Linked DNA regions of Canis lupus familiaris. The protein of the gene in region 2 interacts with the protein of the main gene of each other region in a biochemical or structural test. Links are inferred from orthologs where the notes say so. Each region holds a gene or a part of one and is shown on either strand. Other genes may lie near its edges.

The links.
Region 1: the proteins of MMP2 (region 2) and TIMP4 form a complex in vitro, tested with the Homo sapiens proteins (2 studies listed by BioGRID). The link is inferred for Canis lupus familiaris from reciprocal best matches to the Homo sapiens genes MMP2 and TIMP4.

What each region holds. Positions count from the first base shown.
Region 1 is NC_049241.1:6,469,605-6,478,600, forward strand, and holds the start of TIMP4 (metalloproteinase inhibitor 4 precursor), read left to right. Parts: upstream 1-3,787; 5' UTR 3,788-3,813; coding exon 3,814-3,952; intron 3,953-5,166; coding exon 5,167-5,264; intron 5,265-5,661; coding exon 5,662-5,776; intron 5,777-8,349; coding exon 8,350-8,474; intron 8,475-8,996. Other genes in the region: SYN2 (synapsin-2), read right to left, coding at 856-998, 1,400-1,462. UniProt on the Homo sapiens protein: Complexes with metalloproteinases (such as collagenases) and irreversibly inactivates them by binding to their catalytic zinc cofactor. Known to act on MMP-1, MMP-2, MMP-3, MMP-7 and MMP-9.
Region 2 is NC_049223.1:59,766,512-59,775,363, forward strand, and holds the start of MMP2 (72 kDa type IV collagenase), read right to left. Parts: upstream 5,853-8,852; 5' UTR 5,699-5,852; intron 2,741-5,698; 5' UTR 2,666-2,740; coding exon 2,514-2,665; intron 1,595-2,513; coding exon 1,446-1,594; intron 340-1,445; coding exon 211-339; intron 1-210.

The DNA.
Region 1 (8,996 bases), on a different chromosome or scaffold from region 2:
CTTATGTACGTTATAGAAGATTGGGTCATCTTTAAATCTTTTCTTTCTCTAAATTCGAATGAAGGAAACTTAACTTTCCATTCTGGCAAATGGACATAGTTAGGTGGAGAAGTCATCTATTCTCATAACTACTAGGCTTTTAGTGCTGTGGAGTGTTTCCAGGGCTATATATTTTCATTTAGGAGTTCCTTAACCTTTTCTGAGTTCTGGAAGCCTGGTGAAGCTTATGGATTCCTTTCAATATATAAAAATATATAAGATATGTGAATGTATAAAATAAAGTACATAAGATAACAAAGAAACCCAATTATTTAAAATAATTATCAAAATATTAAACAAATCTGCAATTAGTAGAACAATATATTTCTTTGTAAATAACAAAAGTATTTTCAGGTACAAATGCAGTGACAGTTCTAGTAACTACCATGATTCCTGAGTAGTGATAAAAATAACTGGTATTTAAAGATACCTGGCGTAACTGTAGTTTGAATCAAAAATCTCTGTGATTACCTTTAGTAACAAAGGCACTTGTGCTGTTGCTACTACAATAGCTTATTGTGGTTTATAACTGAAGAGATGTCAAATTTCATTTAGAAGCTAGTGAATAAATGAATAATGAAATAAATGAATAAAATAAATATTCATTTTATTTCTCATCTTAGTTAATGGGACCTCCTCTGACTAGAAAGGAACTCAGGCTAGGATTCCCTGACTTGAATGGCACCCTCTCTCTGGTCTCTGCCTTTTGGTCCAGGTGAGGCAAAACTGAGAGTTGGCTGCTATCTGGAGGCTCAGATATTCCACTGGGCTGAGGAGAAAGTGAAGAGTATCTGCTGGGTCCCCAGCCCCACTCACATATAAGCCTTGTAGTTGTTGCCTATCTTCTGGACCCGGATGTCATACTTGGCGTCAATAAAAGGCTCTGCTGTGGCATACGTCTGGGTGAGAGCCACCACACTAGCAATGTCCTGGAAGTCGTAGTGGTTTTCCACTTTGACCTAATGTTGGAGCAAGGCAGAGAGGAAGAAAAGGAGACATACCAATACATACACTGAGAGTCACAAGAGCTCTGAGCCTCTAAACCCATCACGATGTTGTCGATCTGTATGTAAACCTGGATGTCACATCTCCCTAGGACACCCCTCCTCTCTAGTTTCCCCTCCTAGAACTCAGGAGCCACACTTGCTGTAAAGGGCCCAAGAACCCAAGTGAGTGGCCTGTACTCTGCTTGTTGGAAGAGGTCTGTTTGGGTAACACTCATGGCTTCAGAGAGGCCAAATCATCTCCTTAGAAAGAATAAATGGGGAAAGGAGGCAGAATAATCCATAATAAGGCTCTCTGAAAAGTGCCCTTCTTGGCCTCAACCCCAAAGCATAGCAAACCCTTACCATGGCCTTACCTTGCCCATGCCTGAGTGAGCATGGCCAATCTTCACCACCACAGGGAATGTGGGCAGTGTCAGCTGAAAGCAGAGGAGGAAGGAATGAACTGGTCAGACTGTGCCTCATCTCTGTGGAATCTTACAGATATTTTTCTTGGTAACACCTTTGGAAGGGTCCTTTAAACAACTAGACCAACTTACTTGGTTTACAAATTAAATAACTGAGGTCTGTAGAGTGACAGTGACCTGCCTAAAGTCATAGCATACTAGTAGCAGAACTGTAAGAACCCTGTTCTGCCACTCAGTACTCCACATCTTCAAAATTCATTGCTTCAATCTCTGCATTAGACAAACCCTGGGCAGGATCAGTCCTTAACCAAAGCGAATTTAGAAAAAAAAAAGAAAAAAAAAAGCATCTTTGAAAGGGTGAATCCTGTTGTATATAAATTGTATCTTAGTAAACCTGAATTTAAAAAGAAATATATCTTGGAATCTTAATGTCCCTTTGTCATATACCTTTTAGTACCCTCCCCTTCCCCTTCAAATGTCCAGCTTCCTATTCTGAACCTGGCCTTTTCCCTTCCTTTCAGTGTCTTCACTGTTCACCAACACTCCAAACTCACCACCAAACACAGCGTTAGGATGCTAAGCCCTCTTTCTGCCCAGTTTGGGGTTTGGAAGAGAAATGACTTAAGAATTCAGCATGCTTATAATTTGAAAGACATCCTTAAAAGTGTAAACTCTATTTTGGGATAGTCATACTTTAACAGAAGGACAATAGAAACCTAAAAGGAGAACTATCCTCCAAAGGCAGGATTTCAAGTGGTTACAAGGTGGTGATGGAGGAAGTACTAGGGTGGAGTGGAAGAAGCACTATACCATATGTCAGGATATTTGCACTCTAGTCCTCTCTGCCATTAACTTTCTGCAAGTCACTTTCCCTCACAAGTCACTTTGTCTTCACATTTGCCAAACAAAGAGGTTGGACTGGATGCCTTTTCCCATGCATCCAATACATCAGGCTCTATCTTGGTTCGAGTGTTATATGAGGAATCAACCTGGTCCCCAAATCTCATCCTTCTCAATCAGACTCAGCTCTCTTTCAATTCTTTTCTTTTCAAACATCACTATCACATCAAAATGGGAAGATATCTTTTGAAAAACTTAAAGTTAACTCTGATAAAAAGTCAGATTCCTATGGGAATTCTGGGTGTGGACAGATACTGGGAACACCCAACCTGAGGATTTCAGTATTTCTGGCTGAGACTAGTTGAAGCTGGGGCAAAGAGCTTCAAAGGGCTTTGGAAACATGTAGTTCAAGCCTATATAATGGGGAAGAAAGTGAGGTAGAGGTTGCCAGAGAGGCAAAGGTTGCAAAGCTACCTTGTGACAGAATCAGAACCTAGCCTTCCACCTTCTAGTTCAGCACTGTGTGGGAATATCCTACAATAATCTCCTGGGTCTCTTATCCTTTGGAGACTTGGAGCCCTATGCTCTGTCAAACAGAGCAGACAAGGCTCTGGTTGCAGTGACCCCATGAGCCTTGGTTCTTTGACAAGACTCAGTCTTCTCCAGTGAATAATGACACGAGACAAGAATCAGTGGTCTGAGAATCCAGGGTCTGGAGAGGGCTTTGAAGTCCCAGGTTTGCTTTAGGTGATGGGATAACGCCCGCAAGGAGCACGGTCCTCGGCCATCTGCAGAGTCTGAGGCTCTGGATATGGGAAAGGGTTTCTAAAGCACAGGCTGCTTTCTCTGACATCTCTCCCCACCCCCCAGCCAACAGCGCCAAGACACACACACACACCCCAACTTTCTCTGTCCTATTCCATTACTGTTTGCTGTTGCTTTGGAGCCTCATAAATAGGGCATTGAAAACACTTCCTGCAGCTGAAAGAAGCCCTGAGTAGCTTGTCTCATTCCCAGTGTGCAGCTCAGCAAGAGGTCCGTCCTCTCTGTCACTGTCTCTTTTGCCTGTTGTAATTCTGTCTGCCTCTCTCTGACTCTGCCTGTCTCACTTTCTGTTTGTGCCTCTCCTCACTCTTGTTCCTTCAGAGTGAATCACAAGCCCTGGGTCTTTCTGCCCTCGTGCATTTGTCTTTGTTTCACTTTCTTTCTGCCTTGACACCATCCTTTCTCAGTGCTTTCCCTCTACTTCTATAAGGCTTAATTGCTCAGGCAGGGAAATAGAGGCCAGAGGCCTCTCTCCTGGCTTCCCTCTTCATTTTACTGAGCCTGCCAGTCAGGAGAGCTGTGGGTCCTGCAGCCGTGGGTGGCCTACTGCCAAAGGAGGGAGGAGCCCATCCGGGCGGGACTGCTCCTAGGTCCACCTCAAAAAGCCTGGGGTGGGGGGCGCGACGCTTCTGGATGCGCCCTGGAGGGTCTGTTTGGTCTGACAGTCCTCGCAGGCTCAGTCGGGGCTTTGCGGTGTCATGCCCCGGGGCCCCCGGACCGCGCCGAGCTGGGCGCTGTTGCTGCGGCTGCTGGCACTGCTGCGGCCGCCGGGGATGGGTGAGGCGTGCAGCTGCGCCCCTGCGCACCCCCAGCAGCACGTCTGCCACTCCGCGCTTGGTGAGTCCGGAGGCCCAAGAGGTCCACAGCAGGGGGTGGTTGTGTGGGGTTGGTCTGGGGCTGAGCTGTAGACCTGGAGTCTGAAGGAAAAGGGAGGAGATCAAATACTGCACCAGTTGCCTCCTACTGGGGCTGATGGGTGGGCAGGGCCGGCGCCATAGCAACCTTGCAAGCTCAGAGCCTGGCTGACTTGCAAGGAAATGAAAGTGTAAGGGACCCCCTTAATGAACCCCTGCCCCCTGCCTACTGCAATTATGGAGTGTCCCTGAACAAGTCACAGGAGCTATCCAGTGATTATTCTGAACTACTGGATGCGGGGAGGGGGAAATAAGGGCCAGGGGACTGGGCATTCATTATAAACATCCCACTGTGACCAAGCCTATAATTGTTTACTCCATGCACCCCACCCCAACATACACACACCTTTGCCCCTTCCCTTTCCTTTGCCTGGAATGCCCTTCCCCCATACCTTTAAATTTCTGGCAGACTTCTATTCATCCATCAAGGTCTTATTTAGGTATCTCTTCTCTGAAGACTTCCTGACTCCTTGGTGTTACCACAGTATCCCTAACATTTTTGTACTGCCAGTATACTGTGCTGTTATTCTTTGTAAATGTATTCTCTACTAGACCAAGAGTTCTGCAGGATGGGAGACCCTGTCCTAACCATATGTATGGACTAGTACTATTACCTAGTGTTAGACCAGGCACAGAGAAGAATTTTATAACCAGTTTTTGATTAATGCCCAAATGGCGAGAGATAAACTACCTCTGTGCAGGGTCAGAACATATTTATTAATTCAATAAACATTTACCAACATCAGGTCTGGGTGGACTCTGTTGAGGCCTCAGACTATGTAAGTAGATGACTGCAAACTGACTATTCTCAAGGGGCTCCTCTTCCTTCTTCTATCCTGATGCCCACCTCCAACCCACTGCAATCTAGGCTATGCAGGTAAAGTATAGAAATTATACTTTAATATAAAGTATATTCTAAAGAGACCTAATAGGCCTGAGGGGTTTAGAACTTCCAGCAGCTGCAGAGGAGGAGTTTACAGGTCCCCACTCTTATATACATGGTCCTCCGTACAATCCAACAAGACCTAAACCCAGAATTCCCTCATAAAATTCTTCAGGGGGCTGAGGTCATCCAGATGCCAGATGGAACTGCTTCAACAGGTTGCTGAAGTTCCCCTCTTTTCTCTTCTTATGCAGCAATAAGGGCCAAAATATCCAGTGAGAAGGTAGTTCCTGCCAGTCCAGATCCTACTGACACTCAAAAAATGATCCGGTATGAAATCAAACAGATAAAGGTACATGGGGACAGGACAGGGCATTAACCCCCTCGGGCTATTGGGAGGAGTGGGGTCTGTGTACTGGGAGTGGGGCTGGTAGGTCAGGCAACCTGGCTCATTGATCCTGGGGTATTGATGCTGAAGTGGCAGGGAGGAGGCCCCACAGGCCCTTAGGGGTCCATCTAGTCCTACAGCTGCCTATGCGTGAGGCTACTAGAGGTATTCTCACTGGAATAAACCAAAGTTTAGATTTTTCATAAGAGAGAAATGATCCAGGTGGGCCATCTGTGTGTGCCAAATCCTGAACTAGACTTTTGTTTAAAATTTTTTTTTTTAGATTGAGAAGTGAGTTTTTCCTGTTAAGATAAAAAGTATACTCACTGACTAAATATTGTTTTTTGTAATTGCCTTTCAGATGTTTAAAGGGTTTGAGAAAGTCAAGGATGTTCAGTATATCTATACACCTTTTGATTCCTCCCTCTGTGGTGTGAAACTGGAAGCTAACAGCCAGAAGCAATATCTCTTGACTGGTAAGTTAAAGACCAACAAGTGGCCCTAATAGTCTCTGTCCTAAGCAAAGCAGTCAAGAAGGAGCCAGGGCTCCTTGGGCAGCAAGCTGAGCTAGGTGGCATTTTCTTGGGCATAAAACAGAGTTGTATTACTAAGAGGCAGCCTCTGAGTTGGGAGAAGCTGTGGTAACCTTTCTTTCAATGAAGAGTCTTTATTACAGTGATCTTGGCCACTGTTTCACTGTTTTAAGGACAAGCTGCTCTCCCAGCCTAGGGCAGCTGGTTCCATTTTCAAACAATTTTAATTGATGTTAAGTTTGATATCTTAAGCCAAAAATATGCCACTCTGAAACTGCCCCTTGTGAATTCAGTTCTGCCCTCTGCCTATGATAATCCCTCACAGGCCTGAGGACCATAAATACATGCATTCTAGCTCTAGGCCTGCTGGTCATGGTTCCCAGACCCCTTCCTATCCTGGCCACTTTCTCAAAATGGGATAAACACTGTCCCTGTCCCTACCCTCACACAGGACCCCAAACTGGACACTGTATACTATAGGTGATGCCTTGGTTTCACAGAACAAACAAGGATTGTGCATGTGCAACCTTGCCCCACAACATATATACTATAGTTACTGTAGTCTATAATGGCATTAACTTTAGGTTGCTATGTTGGGTCATGATCTTGGCTCATAGCCTCGTTGGCTAACTCACATTAAAGACCATATTCTGGGGTACAGTAAAGCACGGTCTTTAACAGAAGCCTTGAATCTAACAATTCTAACAAATCTCTATGAACCTGGGCCCAGGCAGGTCTCCATACTCAACTGGTTGGGACAGAGTAGTTAAGAAACCACACAAGAATATGACTCTGTGAGTGAATGAACACAATACTAAATTATTTTATAGTTTAGGGAAAAGAGGTATCTGTGTGGTTGTAAACAATAAGGAAAACTTCACTGTGTAAATGGGACCTAAATTGCCCCTAAAAGAAGAAAAATATTTGGAAAGAAGGCAACAAAAAGAAAAACACAGCAGGTGAGGAGAACAGAAGGAATTTCCACTATCTGTCCATCCATTCAGCAATAACGACCACCCACTCACTGCCAGGCCTTGGGCAGGAGTGTAGAGACTTAATGACAAGCCACAGTCCTCAAGGAGCTCACAGTCCAGGCTTGGCTCTTGAGAAGTCATAGCCATTAGAAGCTACACTGGTAGAGGCTCCCCAGATCTAAGGATGTGGAATTGTGTTGATCTGGGAGCCTCTGGATGAGAGAGACAGAGGCAAGGGCATGCCACTGAGGCCTCCAGGTCCCAGGATTAATAGACAAACTTACTTCATTCCCTCTGTGTGCTAGCTCTCTGCCAGGCACTGTGGTGCATTCAGGGGAGGAGAAGACATGTTCTTTGTCCTCAGTGTCAAGTCTCACTGATAGGTGGGGATAAATGACAAAATACAAGTCCTCTGAAAAGTCATCAGTGGCCCATGCTCTTCAGAAGAAGGCACAAGCTCTTTTGTCTAATGTTGAAAGTCCTTGTGACCAGAACACTGCTGACCTCTCCAGCTTTGTCTCCAGCCATGTGTGATTGACAGTTCCCAGCCCCTCATTTCCCCCAGAGCTGAAATAAACTACTTGTAGTTGCAGAAGGTGTTCTGCTGGGTTGTGCCGCTCCACCCTGCACAGGGCAGTCCAAATGTCCAGAATTCCTTTCCCTCATTTGTCTGGCAGGTGAACTCCTACCCACCCATTCAAGGCCAAATGCAAGCATCATCTCCTCTGAGACACCTTCCTTGCCCCTCACCCCTTCCACAGATAGAGATAATTGTGCTTTGTTCATTCTTATAGAACAGGATAATTTTTATCTACTTATCTATCTGCCCTACTGTTTATTAAGCTCCTTTGGAAAGAGATTCCGTCATATGTATTTCTGGGACTAAGTCATAGCAGTTGCTCAGTGAATAAATGAGTGACAGAAGTTCTAAGAGGGATATGGGCTAGGGTGGTCAGAGATGGCTTTGAGGACACTGTGGTACTCAAAAGGGTCTTTGGAAGCTAGGAAAGGGTTTGATAAGTAAAGAAGGCGTGCTTTTCTGTGGGGAAGGGGAGAGACTCACCAGGATAGGTATCGACAAGGCAGGAGACTAGGCTGTGTAGATGTTGGGAAGGGTTGGAAAGAGGAAGGGACCTATTATTTATGGAAGCTTCTGTGGGCCCGAGCTGTGCTGGGAACTTTACATTCTCTCATTTCATCTTGACGACAACTTACTACTTTCATCTTTGAGCTGAGAAGTCATGTGACTTTCTGAAGGTCATACAGCTGTAAATGAGAGAAAGGGGGTTGTACCAACAGTCTGACTTTAAAGCTCTCTGCACCACATTAAAGGCCTTCATCCTACAACTCTCTCTCATATGAACATAATCTGTTAACATCTTTAATATGTAAATTACAGAGTTTTTTCTGGTTCTTTAATTGAGCTTCATGCCACCAAGAAGCCATTGAAGAAGCGGCATTTCTGAGCTCTTTGAGGACCTGGGTTCCTGGAGGTCCACAAGCAGATTCCTCATGCTAGGTTCTCCTCCATTCCCCTTGAAGGTCAGGTCCTCAGTGATGGAAAAGTCTTCATCCACCTGTGCAACTATATCGAACCTTGGGAGAACCTGTCCTTTTTGCAGAGAGAAAGTCTGAATCATCACTACCATCTGAACTGTGGCTGCCAAGTAAGGGAATGTCCATTGGCAAGGTCTTTGGGGGGTGAGGGAAGGGTCTTGAGCCTTGCAGCCTCACTTTTCATGTATTCCTTCCTTTGTGCATGTGTTTACTCATGTATTGTACTGTATTTGAACCAAATACATGGACCAAGCTCTGTATGAAGTTGGGGATGGGGAAGCAAGATGGTCCATAGTCCATGATCCCAAAGTACTTACATTTTGGCTGGGAAGGTGGCCATCATATAAAGAATGAGATAATATAGCTACCATTTAAAGAGAGTCTACTTTTTGCCAGGTCCTGTAATGTCTATCTATTTAAAATATTTAATTTAGTCTTTATAACAAATTTATGAAGAGTTCAGATTTCTATTTTAAGGCAAAGAAATTAATGCTATAGGAAGTGAAGCGATTTGCTCAAGGTCAGTGGTAGACTAAGAACCCTGAGGCCTGTCTGACTCCAAAGATACCATTAGAGAGGCAATACTGTGTGTTAGGAAATTGGGGAAAGGGGACTCAGGAGGAAATTTGGGG
Region 2 (8,852 bases):
ACTGTCAGCGTCTCCAGACCCTTCTTTAGAGACCAGGATTCTGACTCAGTCGGGAATGTGACCTCCCTCCCATGGCCAGCTCTCTGATCCCATCGGAGCAGATGGAGGTGTCTGGGGTTGCCAGGGAAGCCACGGTCCTTGTTGCTAGGGACAGCAAGGCATGCAGAGGACCCGAGAGGAGACCCGGCATGCAGATGTTCGCTCTCTTACCTTGTCCTTCTCCCAGGGTCCATAGCTCATCGTCATCAAAGTGAGAGTCTCCCCCAACACCAGGGCCTGGGGCAAAGGCATGAGCCAGGAGCCCGTCCTTGCCATCAAAGGGGTATCCATCTCCATGCTCTGCAATACACAGGGTCTCAGCTTCTAGCTGCCCCAGCGGGGCCCTAACCCAGCCACATCCCTGTCCATGGTCCCTCAACCCTAACATCCATCCCTTTCCCTGTCGTGGTACGGTCATCCAGCCCTGGGAACACAGAGCCTCAGTAGAGTTCCTGACTTGATTATAACTATCCTATGGTCTACACTACCCACCCCCCCAAGTCTATACAGTCCCCAGGATCTCTACCGCTGACTTTCATTGTCTATACTACCGCCAGTGACATCATACCTATCCACATACTAATGTGCCACACCCTCATCCTCACCACTCTCTCATTGTCCCCACGTCTATACCATTGTCCAGATCACCTACCCCACATCCACACTGTCAATTTAACCCTATATCTGACCCTCAACTCATACCATTACCACTATCCGCAATGTTTTTTTTGTTTTGTTTTGTTTTGTTTTTTTCACTATCCGCAATGTTAACCCACAAGTCTACTTTGCCACCCAGGTGCATACCACCCTCCCACATGTTAACACTGTTGCCTCTGCCATTCACCCACATCGCAATACCACTCACAATCTCCACATTATCTACCTTCGTGTCTATACTACTGCCAGTGTTCATAGTACCAACCCACATGGCATCCTTGATGCCAGGTTCTAGCCCATTTCCTCTCAAGTCTACACTACTCTGCTGTTTCTGACCCTCTCTCACATCTAGAATTCCTCAGTGTCCACCAGCTTCAGCCAACAGAACTTTCTGTGACGATGAGGAGATTCTTTGTGCCATTCAATTCAATAGCCATGAATCTCATGTGGCCACTGAGGAGCTGAAGTGTCGCTAGTGTGACTGAATTTTAAGTTTAATTTAATTTTAACTAATTTAAATTAAAATGGCCCAATGTACCTAGTGACTACCACGTTGGGGGATGCAGGTGGACCACCTGCTTTCAGGATTACACTGCGTCCAGGATAAACTCACTGTCACATCATCTGCCCCCACATCAATGTGGCTCTCCAGTGTCTACACATCTTCTACTTTCCTGTCTAAGCTCTGCTCAGGACCCCGTGCCCCTCCAATGGCCAGACTGCCTTCTGCTGACCCCTCTTCTGCCTACCCCAGCGGCCAAAGTTGATCATGATGTCAGCCTCTCCATCGTGGATACGAGAAAACCGCAGCGGAGTTACATCACTCCAGACTTGGAAGGCACGAGCAAAGGCATCATCCACTGTCTCAGGGTCCAGATCAGGTGTGTAGCCAATGATCCTGCAGGGGGTGGAGATGCATGTGAGTGTGTCTGGGTGTACAAGGGAACGGGAGTGTGCATATGCACACAAGCATGCAAGTACATGTACAAGTGTGCGTGTGTGACCATGCATGAATGTGTGCAAATGTGCGTGCATGTATGCAGGTATGTAAGTTTGTGCCTAAGCGTGTAAGGGGTGCATAGGTTTCTGCAGGCATGTATGAGTGTGCATGAGTGTGTATGCACAAGCAGGTATACATGTGTGCATGTGGAGCAGAGCTAAGAGAACAGTCCACCCAGAATGCCTTGGGCTTCTGTGAAGTCCTAGACCAGCCCACATCTCCACACCTGGCTCAAGAGTCTCCTTTCTCACCTCCGGCTGGTGGGTGGCAGGGGGGGGGCATGAATAGCGCATTGAAGGCTATGAGACAGAGATCTCACCCTTGGAATCCAACATGAGTCATTCAGAGGGAGCTCTCAGCCCAATTAACAACCGATAATAACAACTCTATAATACCATATAAAACTCAACAACCAATCATCAAATCCCTTCACCCACCCTATGAGCCCCTCTAATAAGGACAGTGACTGGCGTTCCTTACACTCTCACTGTATGCTGGGTGCTAGGATATCCCTTTATATCGGTGACCAAGCTTAGTTTCCAACAAACCTAAGAGGAGGTTGTGTTTTAGCCCCATTTTATAGACGGGAAAGCCAAGGCTCAGAGCACTGCAAGCCAAGCAGCCTGCTGCCCCCAGGCTAGTGTGAGATTCAAGTTCTGGTCTCACTCCAGTTCCTAAGAACTTTGGACTCAACTTCTGAAGATGCCAGGCTGTCACTGGATACACCCTGGGTCCCCACAAAGGAGAAGGCAAGGCCCAAGGACACTCAGTGTCCCCCAGCTCTGGGACCCCACTGCCTGCAGCCCTGCCTCCGCACCTGTATGTGATCTGGTTCTTGTCCCACTTGGGCTTTCGGGGGAAAAAGTTGTAGTTGGCCACATCAGGGTTGCCACAGCGTGGCTTCCGCATGGTTTCGATGGTGCTCTGGTCAAGCTCCCCAGTCTGGGGCAGCCCAAAGAACTTCTGCATTTTCTTCAGTGTGTCCTTTAGCACAAATAGGTTGCATCTCTCTTTGGGGCAGCCGTAGTAGGTGTTCAGGTATTGCTGGAAGAAACAAACAGCCCGAGGCAAGCAGCCATGTTAGGATAACATAATGTTGACCAAAATAGTCAGGAACCTAACGGCACTGGGATAGAATCCCAGGTTCCCAAACCAGCTCTGTCACTCACTGAGTGACCTGAAAGCTGTAACGACACATGGCTGGGGGCACGTGTTGGGAGCTTACTAGATGCCCCTAGAGCAACTCTGTAATGCAGTTACTCTTGCTATCTCCCTCATACAGAGAAAGAAATTAAATCACAGGGGAGGGGGCACCTGGGTGGCTCAGCAGTTGAGTGTCTGCCTTCGTTTGGCTCGGGTCATGATCCCGGGGTCCTGGGATCGAGTCCCTTATCGGGCTCCCCTTAGGGAGCCTGCTTCTCCCTCTGCCTACGTCTCTGCCTCTCTGTGTGTCTCTCATGAATAAATAAATAACATCTTTAAATAAATAAGTAAAGCACAGAGAGGTTGGGAAATTTGCCTATGATCCCCCAGCTCGCAAATGGTAGAGGGTGGATTTGAACCCAAGCAATCTGGCTCTGGAGCCCAGGCTCGGAAGTATAACTCTCTGCCTCTCCTCTTTACCTCCACCATCTCTTTTAATTCACCTAACTGCTGAAGACAGAGGGATTTGGTTTTCTCACTTTCCTTAGAAGGATATTCAAGGCTCATGTACATGGATTCCTGTAGCAGACAGACCTGTGTTCAAATCCTAGAGCTGTAATTTCCAAAAAGAAGATCATCCTGTCCTCATCTGGCTCCGTGCTCGCTGAGGCCTAAACTAAACAGGCCCCTAGGGAGTTTCAGGGACCAACCAGCTCAGGTTTTTGCCTCCCTGCCATGTGCCAGGACCTGTGCCTCAGTACTCGGGAGAGACTGGTGAACATGACAGGTGTTTCTAGTCTCCAGGGTGCAAATCCCAGCGTGGGGAGGTGGATGGACCACAGTCTGTGCAAAATTGGATGTGTGAGGTGTGTTATGTTGGAATGGTGAAAAGAGCCCGGAGACTTTATTACAGAGGCCCTAACCCTGTTTGGGTGGGGGTAGCTAGGAAAGGGAAAGAAAGAGTAAAATAATAGTAACAATGAGAATAATGACCACGGTTATCTCCCATTGAGGCTTTACCATGGGCCAGGGGCCCTTCAAGGTTTCTATGATGGCCTCACCCTTAACTCTGAGACCCCACTCTCATGCTGTTTGCAGAAGCAGCTGAGACTGTGAAATGAAGTCACTTGCCCAAGGACGCTGGCCGCTCATGACGCCCTGATGAGAGGCCAGGCAGCCTAAGCCCAGAGGCTGCCCCTCAAGCCTCCTACTGCATGGCCTTGGGGCAACATGGACTTCTGCATGCTGTTGGAGGTGTGGGGACCCGGGGAGCTCTGTCAGTGTTGCAAAGCCCAGCCCCAGGCAACAGCCACATCATCAGGCATGCCAGCTCCAGATCCTTGAAATGAGTAGCCCCCTAAAAATGTAAGGTCTCTCGGGGCGCCTGGGTGGCTCAGTGGTTGAGCATCTGCCTTCAGCTCAGGGCATGATCCTGGGGTCCCGGGATCAAACCCCGCATCGGGGTCCCCAGAGGGAGCCTGCTTCTCCCTCTGCCTGTGTCTCTGCCTCTCTCTGTGTGTCTCTCATGAATAAATAAATAAAATCTTAAAAAGAAAAAAGACAAGTATGATCTCCCAACCTATTTATCCAGCAGGGACAGAAGCTTATATGCAGGGAGAGGGAGTGGTGGCATCACATTCTGAGAAGGGGTTCCTAGGGTGACCAGGGGGTGCAAAAGTCCTGTCCTGGGCAGGTTGAGGGCCAGGATGAAGGAGAATAGATTTCTGGGGCGTCTGAAGCAGTAAAGAAGCAGATGTCTCGTGGGCTGGGAGGTACCCCTGGAGGCTCCAGGCGCCTACAGGGTGAGAGGAAGCGCCCCTCTGATGCCCCCAGCCCCCTTGAGTAACGCTGCGGCCGGTCCAGGGAGCTCCTGGGCCAGGCGAGCGCGCTGGCAAAACAAGCTCTGAGCCACAGCCCGGAGCCCCGCCAGGAGGGAGGACTGGCTGGCTGCGGTCCCACCAGCACGGGGCTCAGTCCGCCCCCGCCCCCGCCCCACGCGCCGGGGCCCCTCGTGCGCCTGCCCCTCCCGGCGCCTGGCCCGCCAGCCTCTCCCGGGTTCTCCAAGCCTCTGGAGAAGTTCGAGGAAACTTTCCGAGGTGCAACGCTTGACCCTCCGGGCCAACTGTCCATTAAGCCAGGTGGAAAGGATGCGCTCTTTGCTTCCCTCCGGCCCACGAATACTTGCCAAAAGATCCCCTCCAAGGCCTCTCTCCAGATGTGTGCGGAAGGTTCCCTGGCGGTGGCCAAGCTCTGCTTTGCCCTGAGTTCCTATCCGTATGTGTGCCAAAGTGAACCCAAATTGGGCGCCAAAGGACCCTCTTCTCAAAGTCTCACGCGGGATCAAGAGATCCTCCCTTTTCAAGAGACCCCTTTCAGACCGCTGGCCAAAGGCCGAGCAAGACGCCTGCCAAGGGCCAAGGGCCCGTAGCCAACCCCCCAGATGTGTCCAAAAGTTGTTTACAAAGCGGGCCCCCTTGCCAAATCCCCCGGTTACAAGACAATGCCCCTTTATTTACAAAGGAGGTCCCTTCCAGCTGTTGGCCAAAGCATCCCGGCCCTGCCACCGCTGGCTCCTCGCCCACCCTGCGGGTCCTCAAAGTTGCCAAGTTGTTTACCCAAGGCCTTCTCCGATTACCAAGGGGCTGCAAAAGGGATCCCGCCTTCCGCCGGCCAAAGACCACCCCCCACCGAGCGGTTTCCAGAAGCTCCTCCCCACGCCGCGCGCCCACCGCGGGGGGGGCTGTTCCGGAGACCCCCCCACCCCACCCCACCCCCACCCCCACCCCCACCCCACCCCGAGCCTCGGCCTCCGGAGTTTCTCCCAACTCGCCTCCCTCCCGGGGCCGGGCCGCAACTCACCACAGCCAGCTCTTTGTCCGTCTTGGGGGCGACATCTCCGGGGAACTTGATGATGGGCGACGGCGCGGCGGCGGCGCGGCCCAACAGGCAGCCCAGGACGCAGAGCGCCCGCAGCGGGCCGGCCAGCGCGCCCCGGGCCCCGCGCTCCGGGGTCATCGCGCTCCGGGGCCCCGCGCGTCGCCCGGGGGGTCGCTGGCTCGGTGCGTGCGGCCGCGGCGCCTCCTGCCTGGGGCTGCGCTGCGCTCCGAGGGGCCGCGCGACTCGGTGGGCCCGGCTCGCCCGGCTCAGCGGCGCATCCTCCGCCCCGCGCCCCGGCCCGCGCCCCTGCCCGCGCCCCTGCCCGCGCCCCGGCCCGCGCCGCCGCCGCCGCCGCCCGTTGCCGCTTTGTACGGCTCCAGCCCCAGATGCGCAGCCTCCAGCCGCCGCCTGGGGAAGTCTGGATGCAGCGGAAACACGGGATGGGGCGGCCGCCAGATGTGGCCTGCGGGGCTGGGAGGGCGCGGGCGGCGCAGGGAGGGGGCGCGCTCGGCCCGCCCCGCGCCGCCCCGGCCCGGCCCTCCCCCGGCCCTCCCCTCCTCCCCCCCATCCCCTCCTCCCCTCCTCCCCTCCTCCCCCGCCCCGGAGCCCCGCGCCCGGCCTCGGGACCCCCGCCCCCCGCGGGAGACAGCGGGCGCGACCCGCCTGGACCGTGGGCGCCCGAAGTCGGGGAGCAGCGGGGCTGGGAGCGCCGCGGCGGGGGCGAGGGCGAGGGGCCGCGCGGAGACGGGGTCGCCAGCTCCGAAACGGACGGTCAGCGGCGCCGACAGAACTCTGAAGATAAGGACAGAGCGGCGAAGACAGGGGCAGGAAAGGAAAGAGCAAGAGATGTGGCAACAGAGAAGGTGGAGGGTCGCGCCCTCTCCCCTCGTCCTTCCCGCTTCCTTTCCTTCCTTTCTTCCCACTGCAGATATTGGAGCGTTTGCTTGGCGTCCGGCGTGATGCTGGGTGCGAGACGCATACTTGGAAGCACAGGGGTTATGGTCCCTGCCCAAGGGGGATGTCCCCTCCCTCCCTCGGGAAAGACAATTAAGTGCTAAGGAGGAACTCTGGAGGGCTGTGAGAACATCTGTCCTCAGCCCCTAAACTAGTATAGATGGTCAGGGGAGGCCTCCTGGGAGAAGGGACTTCTGAGCTACCACCTACAGAGACACAGGAGTGTTGGGTGGGGGTTGCGGTGGGAAGGACGTTTCAGGCACAGTCTGGGGCACCCTGCGTGCAGAGGTCCAGAGAGGGAAGACCGCAAGCCGCCCTGGAGAAGGGAGTTTCCCTCTATCTAAAAAGGGTGGCGGTGTTGAAGGGCAGGGTCAAGAGATGGGACTGGGATCAGCAGGGACCAATTTGAGGACCAAAGCCGTGGGCTCCGAGGGCCAGGAGCAATCTTCCAGTGAGGGCCTTCAGGGTTCATGGTGACAAGTCTGGACTTTTCTCTTGAGAACCGGAAAAGCCTCGGAAGCTTGGGTCTCAGTGGGCTTCAGACATGTACAGGCTTGCCTGGCAGTGTGCTACGTGCCTGCCAGCACTCAATCTGAAAGGAGGCCTGAGGGAGGGACTTAGCCCCACAGGAGGGAGCCAGGCCCATGGGCCTGACCTGAGCAGAAGCCCTGGCTATCTGAGGGAGGGTGAGGCTGAGGTCAGTGGGGGAGGGGGATTGTTCCTGGCTCTGCCCCCTTGGACACATGTCCATGTCCCGTGGGCAGCCAGAGAGTCAAGCTGCAGAGTGGACAGCTGGGAAGATGGAAAAAGTTGTCTCACAAAAGCCGGGCTTGCAAACTCGTGGCCTGTGGGCTGAATCCAGCCTGGACAGCATTTTGAAACTTGGGAGACTTCATGTAGAAATCTGACTTTCTGGTTTTCTTTCAAAAATGCCCAAAGATCTGGCAATCCTGGGTGCCAATTTTCACATGGCAACCGGTAGCTGGCGATAAATCACAGCTGCCCCGTTTAGATGAGGCGTGGGCTTTGGTTTGCCACAGTCTCCGCTGTTCCCTGTTGCCTCGCATGGGGCTTGGCTCAGTTGTGCTCATAGATATTGCTGGCCCCATTCAGGGTTTAACCGTTTCCCAGAAGGCTTTGTAAGACACTGCAGCCTAAACAACATAGCTTTGGGGCTCCTCTGCAGAGGGCAGCTTTAGCTGAGCAACTTTTTTCTTTTTTTTAAGATTTTATTTATTTGAGAGAGAGAGAGAGAAGGTGCACACAAGTCAGGAGGAGGGGCAGAGGGAGAAGCGGGCTCCTGACTGAGCAGGGAGCTGATGCAAGGCTCGATCCCAGGACCCCAGGATCAGGACCTGAACCGAAGGCAGATGCTTAACCAACCGAGCCACCCAGGCGCCCTGACTGTGACTCTCTACAACATGCATGGCTTTGGCATTCCAGGGCGTCGGTGTCCAGTGTAGGTGCTTGGTGCGCATTTAGAAATGGCATCAGCTGCAGAAGTGAGGGAGGAGTAGCAGTGCCCGGCAGTGACTAGGGGCCCAAGGTGCCTGGAGAGCACAGGCAGTCTAGTGGCAATGGACTTGTGGGTGACCACATGAGATCCCTGTGTATCCCTTTCACCGCCTGCCATTAAGAGCCTGCCGTGGTAATCCCAGTAACCCCATGTGGATGTGGGGGAACCATTAAATGAAAGCAACCAGACAAACTCTTGCATAATAACCACCAAGATCAGGTATTATGTTTGAGACTGCAGCATCTTTTAGCCGGTCTTAATGCCGGTCGTGTAAAGGGGAGAACTGTGCCCCCCCAAAAGGATATGTTCAAATCCTACCCTCTAGTACCTGTAGTAAATGTGTGCTCCCTCAGATATATAGTTGGCTCATGAACATGACCCTTAAACTGTGTGGATCCACCATTGATATGCAGATTTTTTCCCAATAATACAGTGTAGGGCTGTAAATGTATCTTCTCTTCTTTATGATTTTTTTTTTTAAAAAGGGTTTTATTTATTTATCAGAGACACAGAGAGGCAGAGACATAGGCAGAGGAAGAAGTAGGCTCCCTGCAGGGAGCCCTGATGAGGGACTCTATCCCCAGACCCCAGGATCACGCCCTGAGCCCAAGGCAGACACTCAACTGCTGAGCCACCCAGGTGTCCCTCCTTTATGATCTTCTTAAT